Linked DNA regions of Canis lupus familiaris. The protein of the gene in region 4 binds, or shares a complex with, the protein of the main gene of each other region. Links are inferred from orthologs where the notes say so. Each region holds a gene or a part of one and is shown on either strand. Other genes may lie near its edges.

What was found. Proteins that work in one complex are often made in the same cells at the same time.
Region 1: STX4 (region 4) and BNIP1 share a complex: the UniProt entries of both Homo sapiens proteins name them as parts of the SNARE complex. The link is inferred for Canis lupus familiaris from reciprocal best matches to the Homo sapiens genes STX4 and BNIP1.
Region 2: STX4 (region 4) and BET1L share a complex: the UniProt entries of both Homo sapiens proteins name them as parts of the SNARE complex. The link is inferred for Canis lupus familiaris from reciprocal best matches to the Homo sapiens genes STX4 and BET1L.
Region 3: STX4 (region 4) and STX5 share a complex: the UniProt entries of both Homo sapiens proteins name them as parts of the SNARE complex. The link is inferred for Canis lupus familiaris from reciprocal best matches to the Homo sapiens genes STX4 and STX5.

The regions. Positions count from the first base shown.
Region 1 is NC_049225.1:40,187,212-40,191,467, forward strand, and holds the start of BNIP1 (vesicle transport protein SEC20), read right to left. Parts: upstream 2,801-4,256; 5' UTR 2,732-2,800; coding exon 2,648-2,731; intron 182-2,647; coding exon 89-181; intron 1-88. UniProt on the Homo sapiens protein: As part of a SNARE complex may be involved in endoplasmic reticulum membranes fusion and be required for the maintenance of endoplasmic reticulum organization. Also plays a role in apoptosis.
Region 2 is NC_049239.1:25,711,331-25,715,514, forward strand, and holds the start of BET1L (BET1-like protein), read right to left. Parts: upstream 2,801-4,184; 5' UTR 2,713-2,800; coding exon 2,694-2,712; intron 2,134-2,693; coding exon 2,042-2,133; intron 1,839-2,041; coding exon 1,782-1,838; intron 1,661-1,781; coding exon 1,493-1,660; 3' UTR 1-1,492. Other genes in the region: RIC8A (synembryn-A), read left to right, coding at 3,994-4,077. UniProt on the Homo sapiens protein: Vesicle SNARE required for targeting and fusion of retrograde transport vesicles with the Golgi complex. Required for the integrity of the Golgi complex.
Region 3 is NC_049239.1:54,381,025-54,385,036, forward strand, and holds the start of STX5 (syntaxin-5), read left to right. Parts: upstream 1-1,212; 5' UTR 1,213-1,227; coding exon 1,228-1,455; intron 1,456-1,665; exon of another isoform or gene 1,666-1,820; intron 1,821-2,141; exon of another isoform or gene 2,142-2,160; coding exon of another isoform or gene 2,161-2,385; intron 2,386-3,581; coding exon 3,582-3,652; intron 3,653-3,826; coding exon 3,827-3,882; intron 3,883-3,997; coding exon 3,998-4,012. Other genes in the region: WDR74 (WD repeat-containing protein 74), read left to right, coding at 268-438; testis-expressed protein 54-like, read left to right, coding at 631-691, 815-1,014. UniProt on the Homo sapiens protein: Mediates endoplasmic reticulum to Golgi transport.
Region 4 is NC_049227.1:17,349,086-17,353,264, reverse strand, and holds the start of STX4 (syntaxin-4), read left to right. Parts: upstream 1-1,379; 5' UTR 1,380-1,728; coding exon 1,729-1,758; intron 1,759-1,946; coding exon 1,947-2,048; intron 2,049-2,159; coding exon 2,160-2,259; intron 2,260-2,395; coding exon 2,396-2,470; intron 2,471-2,766; coding exon 2,767-2,837; intron 2,838-4,179. UniProt on the Homo sapiens protein: Plasma membrane t-SNARE that mediates docking of transport vesicles. Necessary for the translocation of SLC2A4 from intracellular vesicles to the plasma membrane.

The sequences.
Region 1 (4,256 bases), on a different chromosome or scaffold from region 4:
ACAGCTAGCTCTCAAGCAGAGGTTACTCCCAGGATAGAGCCTCCTCATTGTCACCCATTCTCCCCATCTCAGTTCTACAGCTACTCACCTGTATTCTGTGCCGCAACTGCTGAAACTTCTCTTTCACTTTAGTATTTAGTTCAGTAAGTGCACTTAATGGTCCTGAACAATCTCGAATATCCTAGGAGACAGTGAAGAGGTGAAGGGGCCTTTCTTGAGGCAAATGACATGAAATGAAACCACCTGTACAGGGGGAGTTGGCTTGAACCACCACTAGGCTGGCCTACTGTCTGTAATTCATCCTGATCTTTGCTGTTTACCTCTGCAACACGAGCAAAAACATTATCGTTTACATTTCTCTCATAACCTCTTTAATTTTGAGCAGGTACTATAATAGCATAAAAAGAAACACAACTGTCCTATTAGTTCCTAAAGTTTAACAAAATGCCACCTAGTCAGTATAAAAGGCTTAAAGCAGATCATATGTCCAACAAGAATGGACATCCAAAAGTGATACAACTTGAAAATCAGGATGCTCAATTCCTGGCATCATATGGCAAGGTTAACTTCGATCATCTATTACAAATCACAGTGTTTACAGACCTGTTCAAGGGTAGATTTAGAATTTGTTTCTGCGCCGGGACACCTGCACCCCGATGTTTATAGCAGCAATGGCCACGATAGCCAAACTGTGGAAGGAGCCTCGGTGTCCAACGAAAGATGAATGGATAAACAAGATGTGGTTTATGTATACAATGGAATATTACTCAGCTATTAGAAATGACAAATACCCACCATTTGCTTCAACGTGGATGGAACTGGAGGGTATCATGCTGAGTGAAGTAAGCCAGTCGGAGAAGGACAAACATTATATGTTCTCATTCATTTGGGGAATATAAATAATAGTGAAAGGGAATATAAGGGAAGGGGGAAGAAATGTGTGGGAAATATCAGAAAGGGAGACAGAACGTAAAGACTGCTAACTCTGGGAAACGAACTAGGGGTGTTGGAAGGGGAGGAGGGCGGGGGGTGGGAGTGAATGGGTGACGGGCACTGGGGGTTATTCTGTATGTTAGTAAATTGAACACCAATAAAAAATAAAAAAATAAAAAAATAAAAAGAATTTGTTTCTGGACATTCAAAATTACTGGGGTCAGATTTTAGAGCAGGCTCTAGAGCCAAAATATGTAGATGCAAACTCCAGCTGCAGCAATTTATTGGCTGGATAACAAAAAGTCACTCTGGTTCTCTGTGCCTCACTTTTCTCATCACATTACCTACCACATAGACCAGGTACGTATGCAAAGTATGTTGCAAAGGAGCTGGAACACAGTAAGAGCACAGTATATCTAGGTATATCATGAGAACCCCAATATCAGAGAGTACAGAAGGGCTTAAGCAATTTAGATTATGTGAAAAGGCAATCTTTTTATATGAATCCTAAATTTATTTTCTTAAAGTCAGCCCAGAAGTTTTGCAATATGTATGAATAAGTGTAGTTGAAGAAGTTTAACAGTTTGCATCAAGTTTTCTCATCTGTTTTCTGGCTTACTCATTAAATCACACTTCCTTGTACCACGATAAAGCACTACTTTGGTTTATTCTGCATCTGGTCTCCATGGAGAGTCCTACTTTCCTTCGCTTTTTGCCACAGCTAGTTGCAAAATCTGAGTCTACATCTAATGCTTAGCAACATTTTTGGAAACGGAGGAAATAACTTGCCTAAAGCCAAAGTTTAGGGGATCCCTGGGTGGCTCAGCGATTTAGCGCCTGCCTTGGGCCCAGGGAGACCCAGGCTCGAGTCCCGCGTCGGGCTCCCTGCATGGAGCCTGCTTCTCCCTCTGCCTGTGTCTCTGCCTCTCTCTCTCTCTGTCATGAATAAATAAATAAAACCTTAAAAAAAATAAAACTACTAATAAAGAGTTTAAAACTCTTGGTTTCTTTTTGCTAAATTCAAGGAACCATTTCTACTTTCCTCTTGCCTAGGCCAAGCAGTTATTGCTCTGCTGCCTTCTACCCTTAAGTGGCTCAAGGCAAGGAGTGTCCGGTACCCCATCTGTTAAACCGAGTTTCAGAGACCCCCTAAGTCCCTCGTCTAGGCCGACTTTCCCTGTCCGGTCGCAGTCTTGCCACCACCTGCCTTCTGATTCAGGCCTTGGCATTTTAGCCTTTTTCCTCATTTACAAAGTCGCAGCTACTATCTAGGTGGCCGGGGGCCTCCCGCACGACGGGGCCCTTGGTGCCCTGGGGCACCTCCGCCGGGGCGGCGGCCAGGGGAGGGCGGGGCTCGCGGCCCTCGGGGCGCCACCGAGCGCGGCGGAGGGAGGCGTGAGAAGGCGGGGCCCGTCGGGGCGACAGGTCGTCCCAGTCGACAAGTGTGCGGGGGCGACCCATGTGGCCACAGACCGGAAGCCTGGCCAGGGACGAGGGGACGCGGGAGCGTTCAGAGGAGGGCAAGACAACAGCGCGCGGAGGGAGGATCAACGCCAACGGCCCAGGAGACGGGACCAGAGGGGGCCGCCAGGGGGTAGCGGGCCGTGGGGCGGGACCAGCGACCTCCCAGACTTGAGACCGCCGAGCTCACAGGAGGCCGGTGGAGCCTGGGTTCAGGGCTACAGGGCCCGGCAGCCGTCCCGGGAATTAGTACCTGGATAAGCGCCTTCACCTCCAGGTCGAACTTGACGATCTCTTGGTTACAGATACGGACGTGGACATCTTGGGGAGCCGCCATGTTGAGGACGCCGGCTACGGGCCGCGGCGGGGCCCAAATTAAACTCGTTTTTGCGTCACCTTCGTTCCGCGTCGGGGCTTTCGGCAGCGCCCTCTAGGGACCAACCTGAGGCGAGCGAGGGTCGAGGCGAGGAGGCCGGAGGACTCGCCTCTGGTGTGGTGGTGGAAGGGAGGTGGGCGGGGGGGGACTGGGCAACACTGCTGGGGGGCACTGGATGGGATGAGCACTGGGTGGTACGCTAGATGTTGGCAAATTGAACTCCAATAAAAATAAATTAAAAAAAAAGAAAAGAAAAGAAGAAGAAGAGAGGGAGTATCGAGAGCGTTTTAACATTGGCCTCTCCCCATCTTTTACCTAAAAGGCATTCTAATGACTACATGTTTTTTGCAGAAGAGAGAGAGAGAGAAAAAAAAAAAGGAAAGTATCAATTGGGATGTCTCTGGAAGGTGGAATTAACAATTTTTTATATCTCTTTAAATTTCCTTATATTTTTCATATGTTGTACAGTGAATATAATTGTGGAGCAAATGAAAAGATGGTAAATGTTATTACTGCTTTTCACGTGTGGAATTCAAGACAGGCCTCTTCCAGCACATGGTCCAAGGGTTCTAAAATCACAACTGATCAAGTCACTTCCCCACCTCCACCTCTTTTGTAGCTCCTGGCACGTGCCTTTTGTGTACAGTTGGATTTATTAAAGCCTACCTTGCTGGAGTAGTTTTGATGGAAATAATTAAGAGCAGACCCTCAACGAACAGTGGCTCCTGCCTTTATTATCAAATAGTCCAAGGCCATCAGCCACCTCACTCCATCGCTCTCCTGGATTCCTCAAGCTGTTTTTGGATCTGTAGCTTTGGAATGTGCTGTTCCCTTTTCTTAGAATGCTTTCCCCCTCTTGCTCCCACCCCATGTGCTTCTGTTCACATCAGCAAGCATAAATTGTTAAGACCTGAATGCCTAGCTGTGTTTTTCTCTTAATCCTTCAACCAGACTTGAAATAGGTAATACCCCAGTTTTACAGATCAGTAGATGGACCAAGAGTAGATCAAAGCGAAATAAATCAAAACTGAACGTCCCTGCCCCAAAGTTACATAACTTGAAAGTGGCAGAGCCTTCACTAAAAGCCACGTCTTCCCTCAAAAACCAAATATGGCCCCTTGGGTATAGTGTCGTACACAGGGGGCTATGTGCTTGCCTATCTGTGTTTCTCCACTGCTCCACACACCATCCGTTAAGGCGTTCATCACCCCACTGCACCTAATAGGCAATGTATTGCAGGCCTTAGAGTCAACCCTGCTTGAATCCTGCTGGAGGACCCACTTCACAGCTCTGCCCCTCAGAATTCTGAGGCTAACTGGTAGAGTCACAGAGGTGGAGGATTAAATGAGGTAGTACATGAAAAGCACCAAGCACAGTGTAGTCATGTGGCATGTGTTTAAGAACTCAATGTGCATTAGCTGCTATGACATTACTGACATTTTTTGGAGCACTTCCTATGTGCCAGGCACTTTGTACTAAGTTCTTA
Region 2 (4,184 bases), on a different chromosome or scaffold from region 4:
TAGCAGGAGACCACCAGAGAGCTAACTCAGATCCACGGTGTGTACGTGGCGACTGCGGAGGAAAGACCACAGGGCCCGAGAGGGAACGTCGAGTCAGGGACACAGCAAAGCTCCACAGGCAGGGAGGCCAGCTGACCTCCCTGGATGAGCAACTAGCATCTGGAGGCTAAGGGCACTCAGAAGATGAGGCCGAGCAGCCCAATAGCTGCTGTGCAGGAGATAAGGAAGCTATGATGACCACGTGCCAAACTTGCTGCAGGGACAAGGGCAAGAGAGGGGAGGGAGGCAAGGAGAACACAGAGCAGCGGCAGTGCTGAAGGGGAGGCGCCCAGGGCCAGAGAACGGAGCTGATGTGTGGTCGGCGCACGTGTGATCACCCACGGGATGAGGGGGGGAATGGGCGGACAGCAAACCAAGTTGTCCTCTGGGAGGAAGGGGGAGCGACTGGGCTGGCAGAGGATCGGAATATAGGGGAAGGAACCGGGGAGGACACAGCTAGCAAATCATTTCTTATGTGTCTTCATGCACATACGAGGGTGCGGACGCCCAGCTGGGCCTGCACTTTGTGGTTTGTGTGAACATGGGGCTGGCCAAGCGGGCAGTGAGGGCTCAAAGAGAGGCCAGGGATGAGGCAATGATGAAGAGTCCCCTTATTCAGGGAATACTCACTGCTGAAAGGCCTCACATGGTGGAGGGGAAGCTGCCCGGTGACCCCTGGGTCTTATAAAACTTGTTAGGGAGCCCTCTCGTCTTGACCACAGAGGTGCTGCACCCCCACCCCAAACACACAGACAGAAACCCTTCTAGAGCTCCCATCTCTGGTCTCCCAGAAATACGTCTTTGGTGTTAGGTAGATCCTGAGTTCCTGCTCCTGAATACAAGACTGTGGATCCAGAAGGATCAGGGCCCAGTGCCTCTGGCCAAGGTTGAAGTCCACTTCTTCATCCACAACCCCCTGCCCTTCTCCGAGGGTCTGGGGGGCAGACGTGACCTCGGGGCGGAACCCCTGGCGCAGACCTGCCCATGTTCAGCAGCCCTACCGAGTAGCTGCTCCTCTGAACAGAGCAGATGGTGCTCAAAGTTCATAACCGAACCCCCTTCCTGTGTCAGCTCCAGGCTGCTCACGTATCGGACGTGACCTTACCCAAAGCCTCAAGACGTCGAAGCCCCAGGGGACAAGGAAGGGCTGCTGGCCACAGGTGGCCACGTCGAGGATTCACACCCAGCTCTGCCAGGGCCTCCACACCCCGAGTAGCACAGGGGCTGGGGCTTGGTGTCCCCAAGGGAAGGAGCTGCACTGCATGGGACCAGCCAACAGGAGCTCACTTGGGCGCAGGCAGCCGTCAACTCCCAGGCACACAGCAAGAAAACTCCCAGGCCGGGATCCCCCTTTCAAAGGAGTATTTTGCAGGTAGGTCCTCAGGAGCCTAGGCCACCAGGCGGGGGAAGACCCTGGTTGCCCCTGCACCCACAGAAGTCGGCTTCTGGTGGCTCACGTCCTTGCCCTTGACAGAAGGTAGGAGAGGATGAAGAAGACCACGATCAGGCCCAGGGCCATGCCACACAGAAGCTTCCGGTTGTCTCGCCCGGACCTCGCCATGGTGGAAAAGCGCTTCACGCTCCCCGTGAGCAGGCCTGTCATGCTAGTGAAATCCGAGTCCTGAGGGAGGAATCCCAGCAAGGTCACACAGGGCGGCGCCTCCACGACTGCCACGCAGGTGCCGCAGCGCCACCAGGGCCTGCCCGAGCGGCCCGCGCCCCGCGCCGACGGAGCCCCTTACCATGCTGTCCAGGTACCGGTTCTGGTCTTCTGCGTCCCTGTCGATGTCCAGGGCCAGCTGCTCAGAACGCGGGGCGGGGGGCAAGGTCAGGCCAGAAAGACTCGGTGGGTCCCGCCCGCGAGGCCAGCGGACCCGCCAACACCCGCCGGCGGGATCAGGCCGGGCCTCCCCGGGCCTCAGACACCAGCGCCCCGAGGAAGCCCGGGACCCTCCCCAGCCTCTGCCCTCCTGTCCCCGCTCGCAGGGAGGACCGCACTGACCGACTTAAGCCTGGTGACCTTGGAGGCCAAGCTGTCGGCCATCCGCTTGTTCTCCCGGTCTAGAATCTCCTCCACGGCCGCGGGGCTCTGGGCTGCGAGAAGGGACAGTCTGAGCCTAGGACCGCAGGCGCGGAGGCCCCGGTGAGGGGGGCCGCGGCCCCTGCTCGGCCCCCGCGCTGCCCCGGGGCTCCCTCCGTCCTGCGGACAAGCCAGGGGCCGCGGCCGGGGCCGGGGCGCGAGCGCGGACAGCCCGCGGAGGACGGCGCCCGGGGGTGGGCCCGCGCTGGGAGGCAGTCACCCGGCGGGGCCGCTCGGAGCAGCACTGGCGCGGGCGCGGCGGCCCCGCAGGTCGGCCGGCAGCCAAGGCTGAGCAGCGCAGGCCCGAGGCCCCCGCACCCCGCGCGGCCCGGGGCGACCCCGACCGTCGGCCACCGCCCGGGCTCGGGGCGCGGACGTGCGGCGGGCCGGACGCCCCGATGGCGGGCCCGGGTGCGCACGAAGGCCGAGGCGGGCTGTCAGCGTCCCGCCGCCCGCCCTCGGCTCCTGCCGCCCCTCCCGGGGAGACCAGGGGCTCTGGGGCACGCGAGGGGCCCGCCCGCCGGAGGCCCCGGGCGGAGCAGCCGCGGCCCCCCGACCCCAACCCGCCGCTCACCCCGCGCCCAGTCCGCCATGGCGCCCGCCCCCGGCCCCGTCCCCGGCCCCGCCCCGCCAGCGGCCCAGCCACCGCCTCAGCGGACGTGGCGCAACCGGGGAGGACCGGGACCCCGCCGCTTCCGCTCTGCCCGCCGACTTCCGGCCGACGTCCGGCCGACTTCCGGACTAGGGGGGCGGGCCTTAAGTGCCGAGGACGCGTGACAGACGCCGCCAGCGGCCAATGGCGCGGAGGGCGGGGCCGGGTCCCGCTCCGGGCGTCCCCGCTTTCCCCCGCGGGCCTGGCTGCTGGGGTCGCCGCGGGTCCCCGCCCCAGGCGTTGCCGAGGGGACGCGGTGGAGGCCAGGGCCTGGAAGACGCAAGGGTGACGCACTCCGAAGGGAAGCGAAGCCAGACGGGGGCCGGGAGTGTGGGGGCAGCAGAGGCCGTAGCGGCCGGTGCCTCTTGCCTTGGTCCCGGCGCCGCGGGAACGGAGGCGGCCCACAAAGGCTGGCTGCACGGCGGGCACCGCTGCGACCACACACACGGGAGAGGGAGCTCAGTCCAGGCCACACACCTGGGACGTGGCTGCCGGTGATCCTGACCCTCCCCGCCCTCCCCTGGAGCTCAGGGACATGTTTGCGTCCCCGCCGCGGCCACCGAACGACCTTCCCCCGGATCCCTTCTTATCGTCCGGCCTCAGCAGAAATGCTACTTCCGCACATCCCTTTGCAGCCCACTTTATTCGCCACAGCGCTGAGACCGCTGCCCGTGGCTCCTTGCCCTCACGTGCGAGCTCACGCTCCCAGAGGGCCGGGAACCAGCGGTCGGCGGGTCCCGGGGCCGCAAAGTCCTTCCCACTTCGCTTTTCCCCCGGACTTGCACTGGTGCTAGGCATCTAGGGGGGCGTGCGTGGGAAGGTGAGTGGGTCCCCGTTAGCTTCGGAGGCCGCTCAGCTCCGAGGTCGAAAAATCACCTAGTAGGACCTTTGAAACTCGCGCTCACTCCCCGGCAAAACACTCAAGTCCCAGCCAGCTGATCCAGGTCTCGCCCCCTTAATGAACCTACAGCCCTGGCCCCGCCCCGCGGCGCGCGCTCCCAGTCCCGGCATGCCGCGCGCGCAGCCCTGGCCCCGCCCCGCGCGCTCCCAGTCCCGGCCTGCCCCGCGCGCAGCCCTGGCCCCGCCCCGCCCCGCCCCGCCCCGCGCGCTCCCAGTCCCGGCCTGCCCCGCGCGCCCAGTCGGGGCGGAGCGGCGGAACTCCGCCCGGAGCCGGGAAGCAGCTCCCCTTCCCGCCGGCTCGGCGCGGGATCCCGGAGGCGCCATGGATCCCCGGGTGGTTGCGGATGCCGTGGAAGCGGGCGAGGAGGACGTGATCATGGAGGCTCTGCGCACGTACAACCGGGAGGTGAGCGCGAGCCGTGAACGTGCTTGCACGGAAGAGGTGGGCCGGGCGGGGCTCGCGTGTGCGGACCCGGGCCTGCGGGCTGCGGGCGGCGGGCGGCGGGCGGCGCG
Region 3 (4,012 bases), on a different chromosome or scaffold from region 4:
AGGACACAGGTGTGAGCATTTCCCTGGGGAGAGAAAAAAAAAAAAACAGTGGCTGGAACTGTCTCCTTGTCTGCCAAGTTACTGAAGTTCTCTGAGGAGTGTTAATAGTTATATTCCTGATAGGGTTACTGCCGAGGGTTGACATAGCATGGATGGGAATAGTGTCTGGCAGCAGGAAATAAAAGCGATTATTTCCCAGCTGGATCCTTCTTCCCTGTGTATCTGTTTCTGTGTCCCTGACTCCTCTAACCTTTCTCCCCCTGCCAGGATGAGCCCCAAGAGGCCAAAAAGGCACCACCGGAAGACACAGAGACAGATGAACTTTGGGCCTCCTTGGAGGCAGCTGCCAAGCGGACGCTCCCTGATTCGGAGCAGACCCAAGGGGCTCTCCAAACCAGACGGAGAAAAAAGCAGCGGCCTGGGTCCACCAGCGCCTGAAGAGCCTATGCTCACTTTGTAAATAAACAGCTCAACACCCGCCATGACCCTGAGCCTTTTGTGATGGGAGAAAGGAAAGAGGGGTGGCTGCTCCCTACACTGGTGCAGTAGGATATCTGACGTCACAAAAGCCAGGCCCGGGAGCCTGGTGGGTTGGCGTGGGTGGCACGGAGTTGGGGGCCGCTCGGGGCCATGGGCTGCTGCCAAGACAAGGACTTCCAGACGGATGAGCCGGCCTCGGAGGAAGTCGAAGGTGGGACCCAAGACACACCAACGGGCCCCAGGGAACGGGAGAAGGGGTTGCTCTGACAGGACCGCCCAGGAGGTTGAACCCCGGAGGGCAAAGCAGAGCTCAGCGGCTTTATCATCTCCGCAGGCTCTGAAGAGGTCCACATGGGCCCGCCCGACCACCGGAATCAGAGGTCGAATGAAAGCCTCCTGATCACTGTGCTGTGGCGGCGGCTATCCCTGTTCAGCCGTCGGGGCTCAAGCAAGAGACAATCCGCCCAGAGTCAAAAGCAGGGATTGCAGGAGAGCAACCAGGAGGGGATCCTGGAGGAGCCGGAGAAGGGGTGACCCCAGCCCTGCTCTCAGTCTGCCCCAGCCTCCAGAGAATAAAGTTTCTAACGTGTACCTGCCCAGTACAAGCGCCCCTGCTGCCCGTTTTGCGGATGGCTTTTGGGCACCGCAGGGGCTGCGGGCTCTTTAAGGCTCCTCTGCTGAGATTGGCCCAGCCCCCTGGGCTCCGGCCCTGGCTCCTCGGGGGCGGGGTCGCGGGCGGCCTAGCCAATGGGAGGGCGGAGTCGCTCCGGCGTTTGGTGGGAGGGCGTGTCTCTCGGTCGCCGGGCTCCGAGAGGCGTAGCGCCGCCCTCCCGTCACCGGGGGTGGGGCTACGTGTGGGTGACGTGGCGGCTCCTAGTCTTTGGTCGGATTTCGGCGGATTCGGCGCTCGGGGAGGAGGCGGTGACCACCCAGGAGACTGTGGCAGTGGTGGCGGCGGCAGGCGGCAGAGAGGAGGTAGGACTCGCTCCAGAAGGGGCCTGGCTGCCGTGTCCGCTCCGGGCAGCGGCTTTCCGGGGGCGGTGACGTGAAGGGGGAAGGGAACCTGGGGCGAGCGGGCTAGTCTTGCCGGCCGGGCTCGGGGTGAGGGAATACTTCGCCGTCCAATCAGGAAAGCCCCTGTTGAGAAAGACGTCGGCATTAGCCAATCACTGGTTGCAGTCCCCCAGGAGGCGGGACTTGGGCGGGGGAGGAACTTCCTGTTTCAAATAAACACCCAGAGATTTCCCCCCCCTCCGCCTACCGAAGTGTGTCCCCCTCAGGAGGCCGGTCACCGTTTCTCCCTGAGGAGTCGAAGGGATCTGCGGATACGAGAGGGCCCGGTTAGGACCTAGGGCAGTTGCACAGGGCGGGCTGGAGCCTCGGGGCCCCGGGACCTGCCTCTGGCCCCGTCTCGGCTTCAAGGCCCCCGGCCCCGCGCTCTGGCCGCCCGAGCCAAGTTGGAAGAGTCTGAGGAGCTGGACCGGCTGGGCCAGAGAGCGGGGCCCTGCCCGCCGCCGTGGGCCGGGCCCAGAATTTGCGGGTGGCTTTTGGGCGCGAAAGTCCGTGCCAAGTGCAGAAGGGGCCCAAGGATTTGCGGTGGGGACGGGGGATTTGTGGGGAAGGAGGCCACCTGGGGAATGACACTCTGCCCTCCACAACAGTCCGAGGTTATGCGTCTCAATGATCCCGCGGAAACGCTACGGGTCTAAGAACACGGATCAGGGTGTCTACCTGGGTCTCTCAAAGACACAGGTCCTGTCCCCTGCAACTGCTGGCAGTAGCAGCAGCGACATCGCCCCTCTGCCCCCCCCAGTGGCCCTGGTCCCTCCCCCTCCCAACACCATGTCCTGCCGAGATCGGACCCAGGAGTTCCTGTCTGCCTGCAAGTCCCTGCAGAGCCGTCAGGTAAGGACCAGGAGTGGGAAAGGCAGGAGTGAGCCTTACTGAAATCTAGGAGAGGCTGTGCTCCAGCACTGTTGATTGACATGATGGAGAACTGATCTGGCTTAGAGGGGGCAGTAGGATCTACTAAGCAACAGAAAAGGGGTGGATCAGCTGTCTAGGAGCAAGGACTTACGCTGTTTTGTGAGAAATTACCCCAGAGGGTAGCCTTGCTACTCTGGAAGGAGTATCTCAGGATGAAAGGTGGCTGCGGTATATTTGATTTGGATAAGAAAGAGGTTCTAGAGAGAGCCTTTAGCTCAGAGACAGACACTTTGAATTCTAGTTCTGGAATAGTCCCATCATAAGTTTGCTCTGTGGCCACAGGGAAGTTAGTCTAGTTGGGCCTCAGGGTTTTTTGGGTGTGTGGGGTTTTGTTTGTTTGTTTGTTTTAAAGTAGGCTCCTGTCCAGTGCCGAGCCCAACACAAGGCTTGAACTCCTGACCTGGAGATCAAGACTGGAACTGAGAGCAGGAGTCAGAGGCTTAGCCAACTGAGCCACCAGGCACCCCTGGGCCTCGGTTTTTATATCTATAGAATGAAAAGAGCTTTCTCAATAAGTAATTTTTATCAAAATTACTTTAGAGTGCTTTTTTTTTTTTTTAATTAGATTCCCTTTTTTCAGTCCAGACGTCCTAATCAAAGTGGGACCTGAGTGACTTTAGATAATAGATAATTACTTTAGTAATTTTAGATATTTTTATTGCTCAGCACTTAACAGCCGCTCTTCCGTATGATCTCCAAGAGCTTTCTAGTTATCCTCTTTGATTTCCTGATTGGAGGAATAGAATGGCAATAGTGCTTATCACTTATTTAGGGCTTACAACGTATGGGGTATCTGACTAAAATACTCTATAGTCCTATGTTGTGTGATCTTACCAACAAGAATAGGTGTGTGGATTTTCTTCATCTTATACAAAAGGAAAAGAGATTCAGAATGGTTTAAGGCACTTACCCCAAACCTCCCAGCTGATAAATGGTGGAGTCAAGATTTGAACCTTGGTCTACCCATGTTCAAATCTGAGTTCTAAATGACTGCTACTGATAAGATTAGACTACCTGGTGAGGGTACTAGAGATAATTGAGTTGGACGCTTGAGGAACAGTGGCAGCTGGAAGTGAGGGGGCACTAAACCTTTACCTCTTCATGTTGCATTTCAGAATGGAATCCAGACAAATAAGCCAGCTCTGCGTGCTGTCCGGCAGCGTAGCGAATTTACCCTCATGGCCAAGTAAGTTGAGAGAAGTTATGTTGTGGGATGATGCAGAGTTTGGAGAGGCGTAGGCTTGCCTTCAGTGCCCTTGGTATGAGGGAGGAAGGGCTGCATTGGTTAAGCTGGCGCTAATGGGGGAATAGGCCCTGTCCTTCCCATCCCTGTGGTGCCCTCACTAATGCTCATTTCCAGGCGCATTGGGAAAGACCTCAGCAACACATTTGCCAAGCTGGAGAAGCTGACAATCTGTGAGTGTTCTTGGGGTCTTTCAGAGATGGGGCAGTGAACCAGAGAGGGCTGAGGAACCATACTCCCTGAGCCTTGTCTTTGACCTCCCACGTTGTGGCCTCATTGTCTCTGCAGTGGCAAAGCGCAAGT
Region 4 (4,179 bases):
TCCTACAGATGGGATACTGAGGCCCAGAGACAAAGACATGACTTTCCAGAAATCCATAGCAACTCAATCACAGAGTTGATCACAATACAGATTTCCTTACCAGGACATACTAGAGAGGGGCCAGTCTTTCTTTTGCTTGAACCTTCATGTAAGTTCTCTGGAAAGAGTCCTGGGATCCAGGAGACCTGATTTTTATTCTGGCTATGCTGAGACTCACTTTGTGGCCTTGGAGACTGCTCTCACATAATGTAAGTTTCACAAGTGAAAGGTTTTTGTCAGTTAGGCCTTGATTTATCTCCGACCCCTACAACAGTCTCTGGCCATAATAAGTGCCCAATAAATGGATATCCATTGAATGAATGACCATCTAGTGGGCTAGGGCAGTGTCACCGTGAGAGGCTGAAGCCCAAAAGACAAGCTTTATCTTCAGATACATGAAAGGTTAAAGTTCTGTCCACAGATATTTATTGAGGGCCCATATGTGATAGGTACTGAAATAGGCCCTGGGGATTCAGGTAAGAACAAGACTGCGGCGCCCTGACCTCAAGAGCCCACGGTCCACTATAATGGGGAATGTGTGCAGATTTTTTTGCGGGCTTCAGAGGGTAGACCCAGATGCTAGGGAGGGAGGGAGTTAGATGTTAAGTGGCAGACTCCTCAATGTAATACAGACACTTTTCTCAGCTTTAGTTGCCCTGAAATGGTCTTATGCTCGGAAGGTGGTGAGTGCGGCGGAACTGCAGTGTTCATGCAGGGCGCCAGCCGCCCACCTGTCAGAGGCTGCGCCAGGAGGATGCGGGAGGAGAGATTTCTGCCTTGGGTGAGGTCACTTTCCACCCCCAGATTCTCTGCCTACAAAACCCTGCAATTCTCTGACGCTGGATCTTATTATTTTCTGAATCTCAAGGTCCCATGATGCTGACAGCCCCGAATTCTAAGTTCTCCGTCTGCCCACGTCCCTGGACCCAAAAGAAAATGAAGCCGAATTCAGCGAGGGTCCTACCACCCACTGCCTCAAACGGTCTCTGGGGGTAGTCAGCAGCCCCCGCCCCGCCTCGCGAAGGCTGGAGGGGCGTAGCTTGGGCGCCAGGGTCCCGGAGACGTCGTGGGGAGAAAGGTGCTCCAGAGACGGAGTTGACAGCGCCGGGGCACGTGACAATCAAAGTGTCACGTTCCGAGGTCCGCGAGGGTGGGACCGGGCTGGTCATGTGACGTGGGGGGGGCACCATGGGGTGATGTGAGATGCAGGGCCTCTGAGATTACGTATCAATGACGCACTCCCACCCGGTCTGGCAACTAGATTTCCGTTGGTAGATGCGACAGTTCCGGCGAAGGGGGCGGGTTCTCACGTCCTGGCAGCTTTGCTTCCGTTCGGGGCGCCGCAGCTTCCGACCTCAGGCTCCCTCCGGCGAGGAAGAGACGCGACCCCGTGCGCATGCCCCGATCATCCCAGAGGGGCGGGGCCGAGGCTACGGGGACGGGAGGGGGGGAAGAAAAGGGAATTCCAACCTGTGGAATCTTGGGGGGTCCCCGGGGTCGGCTGCTTCCCACTGACTGTGGATGGTGCCCGGGACGGAGCCTCTGGTGGCTCGTGGGGGGGCCCGGGGGTCCGCAGGGTGAGGGCGGAGGGAAGTGTCAGTGTCAGAGTGTGAGTGGGGTACGGGAGTTCCAAACTTAGTCTCGAGGCCCTCGGGGCTCCGGCGCCGGGAAGAGGGAGCTCGGGCCGCCATGCGCGACCGGACCCACGAACTGAGACAGGTGAGAGGGGGCTGCAGGGCTGGGGGTGGGCGGACGGGCTGGGGTCTGGCTGGCATACAGGACTCCCGGTCTTCGGGACAGGGAGGGGTGGCTGAGGGCTAGGAAGGAAAGACCCGGAAGTCTGTGAGTCCTGCGGGGAGAGAGCAACCGCAGGGAAGTGATGCCAGTGACCACCCCGGCCGTGGCAGGGGGATGACAGTTCGGACGATGAGGACAAGGAGCGGGTCGCGCTGGTGGTACACCCGGGCACGGCACGGCTGGGGAGCCCGGACGAGGAGTTCTTCCAAAAGGTAAGAGGCTGGGGTCTCCGCCTGTCTTCATGAGGGGGCTGGATGATCCGAGGAGCAGCGCGGTCCGGAGTATCCCCCATCTCCCTCAGCCCTCTCGGTCACCTTCCCCAGGTCCGGACAATTCGACAGACTATTGTCAAGCTGGAGAATAAAGTCCGGGAGTTGGAGAAGCAGCAGGTCACCATCCTGGCCACGCCCCTTCCCGAGGAGAGTGAGTGAAACCCCAAGTGCAAACGCATGCTCAGCCAGAGGGATTGTGGGGATTGTAGTTCCGTGCAGGTGGTGGCCAGGCAGGTTGGTTTGAGGTAGGAGCCGCTGTCTGGGAGTCATGGCTTTCTCTTCTTCAGGTATGAAGCAGGACCTGCAGAACCTGCGTGAGGAGATCAAACAGCTGGGGAGGGAGATCCGAGCACAGCTGAAGGGTGAGCCCCTAGGACCTCAGACAGACCCTTCCCTGTGGTCCTGCCCAGCTCCTGGTATATCTGGGGACTGTGTGGCTCAGTATTGCAAAGAAAAATACACTTGAGCTACCGTCAGAGGCTCATAATTAGTCATTTATGATAAAATATAATTCCCAAAATAATTCTGTGGAGATAAGCACCTCTCTATTGTATGGATGGGGTATGGCCCTGGCCCTGTGTCCTGGTTCCCACATGATTTTCTGAAGCCACACAGATCAAATCTCCTTCCCCACCAATCCCCTTGTGTCTTCCCACAGCCATAGAGCCCCAGAATGAAGAAGCTGATGAGAATTATAACTCAGTCAACACGAGGATGAGAAAAACCCAGGTGGGTTTATTATTCCCAGAACTAAGACATTTTGCAGGGTTTCATAGACCATTAGGTGGCAAAAGTAAGGGGAAAGGGCCCTTAGAGATCATCAAGTCCAACCTAATGATTTTCAAGTGGGGAAACTGAGGCTGAGAGAAAAAAAATCTCACCCAAAGTCTCCTGACTCCCAATCCACCTAACATCCTGTCGCCTTCTCCATTCATGAGAAGTTGCTGAATCCCCAGATGTGATCTGGGCTTGGTTGTGGAAGGCATGCTTTCTAGAAACCAACATGGTGAGTCAAGCTTGACTAGATGACAAAGACATTACTCAGGTAGGGTGTGGTAGCTAATAACCCCGCCCAGGGAAGAAGAGGGAAAGGTCATAAATGACAGGGAGCTTTCCTGCCCATATGACAGGGTCATCCTCTGCCCCATGGGCAGAATTCAAGAAATCAAGAAGAGGAACTTCCCTGGAGGGAGAAGGTCACTGAATCAACATCTTAGTGAGGAGATTTGAGGCGATCTAACTGCCCTTGTCTGGGTGCCCAGGGAGGAGTAATTTGGAGTTCCTGGAGGTCAGAGTTGGTGTAGGTGGGCCCAGAAAGTACCCTGGATTGAAGATAGGGCAGTTTGGGTATCTTACAATGATGTGGTGAAGGCAGGAGAGCAAATATGTCTCTAAGGAAGGAACTCCAAGGAATGAGCACATTGAAGGAAGCAAGAGAATGGACAAGATAAGAGGATGTTTCAGGGGGAAACTGTGGTAGTCATTGGTGTGAGAGGCTGAGGGTCCAGCCGGACCTGTAAGAGCTGGGCAATGGGCTGACCTCCAGGCATACCTTTAGTCTAAGCTGCAAGGCTGGTGTTCAGCAAGCATTCAAAGGTATTTATTGAGTGCCTACTGTGTGCTAGGCCCTTTTCTAGCTGTTTAGGATGCAGCAGTGAACCAAAGAGCCCAATCTTCATGGAACTTATGTTCTGGTGGGGCGAGACACACACCATAATAAATATGCCCACTATTTTAGAACGTAGGGTTTTTTTTAATTTATTTATTCATAAGAGACAGAGAGAGAAAGGCAGAAACACAGGCAGAGGGAGAAGCAGGCTCCATGCAGGGAGCCCAACATGGGACTCGATCCCAGGTCCCCAGGATCACACCCTGGGCCAAAGGCGGCGCCAAACCACTGAGCCACCCGGGCTGCCCAGACGGTAGTTAAGTATTAAGGGAAAAACTGAGGAGAAGAGGATTGAGAGTGACGGGAGAAGGCAGGTTGCAGTTTTAATAAGGTAGAGAAAACTTCATTCAGAAGGTGACATTGGAATAAAGATTTAAAGGCCTCTGTGAATAAATAAATAAA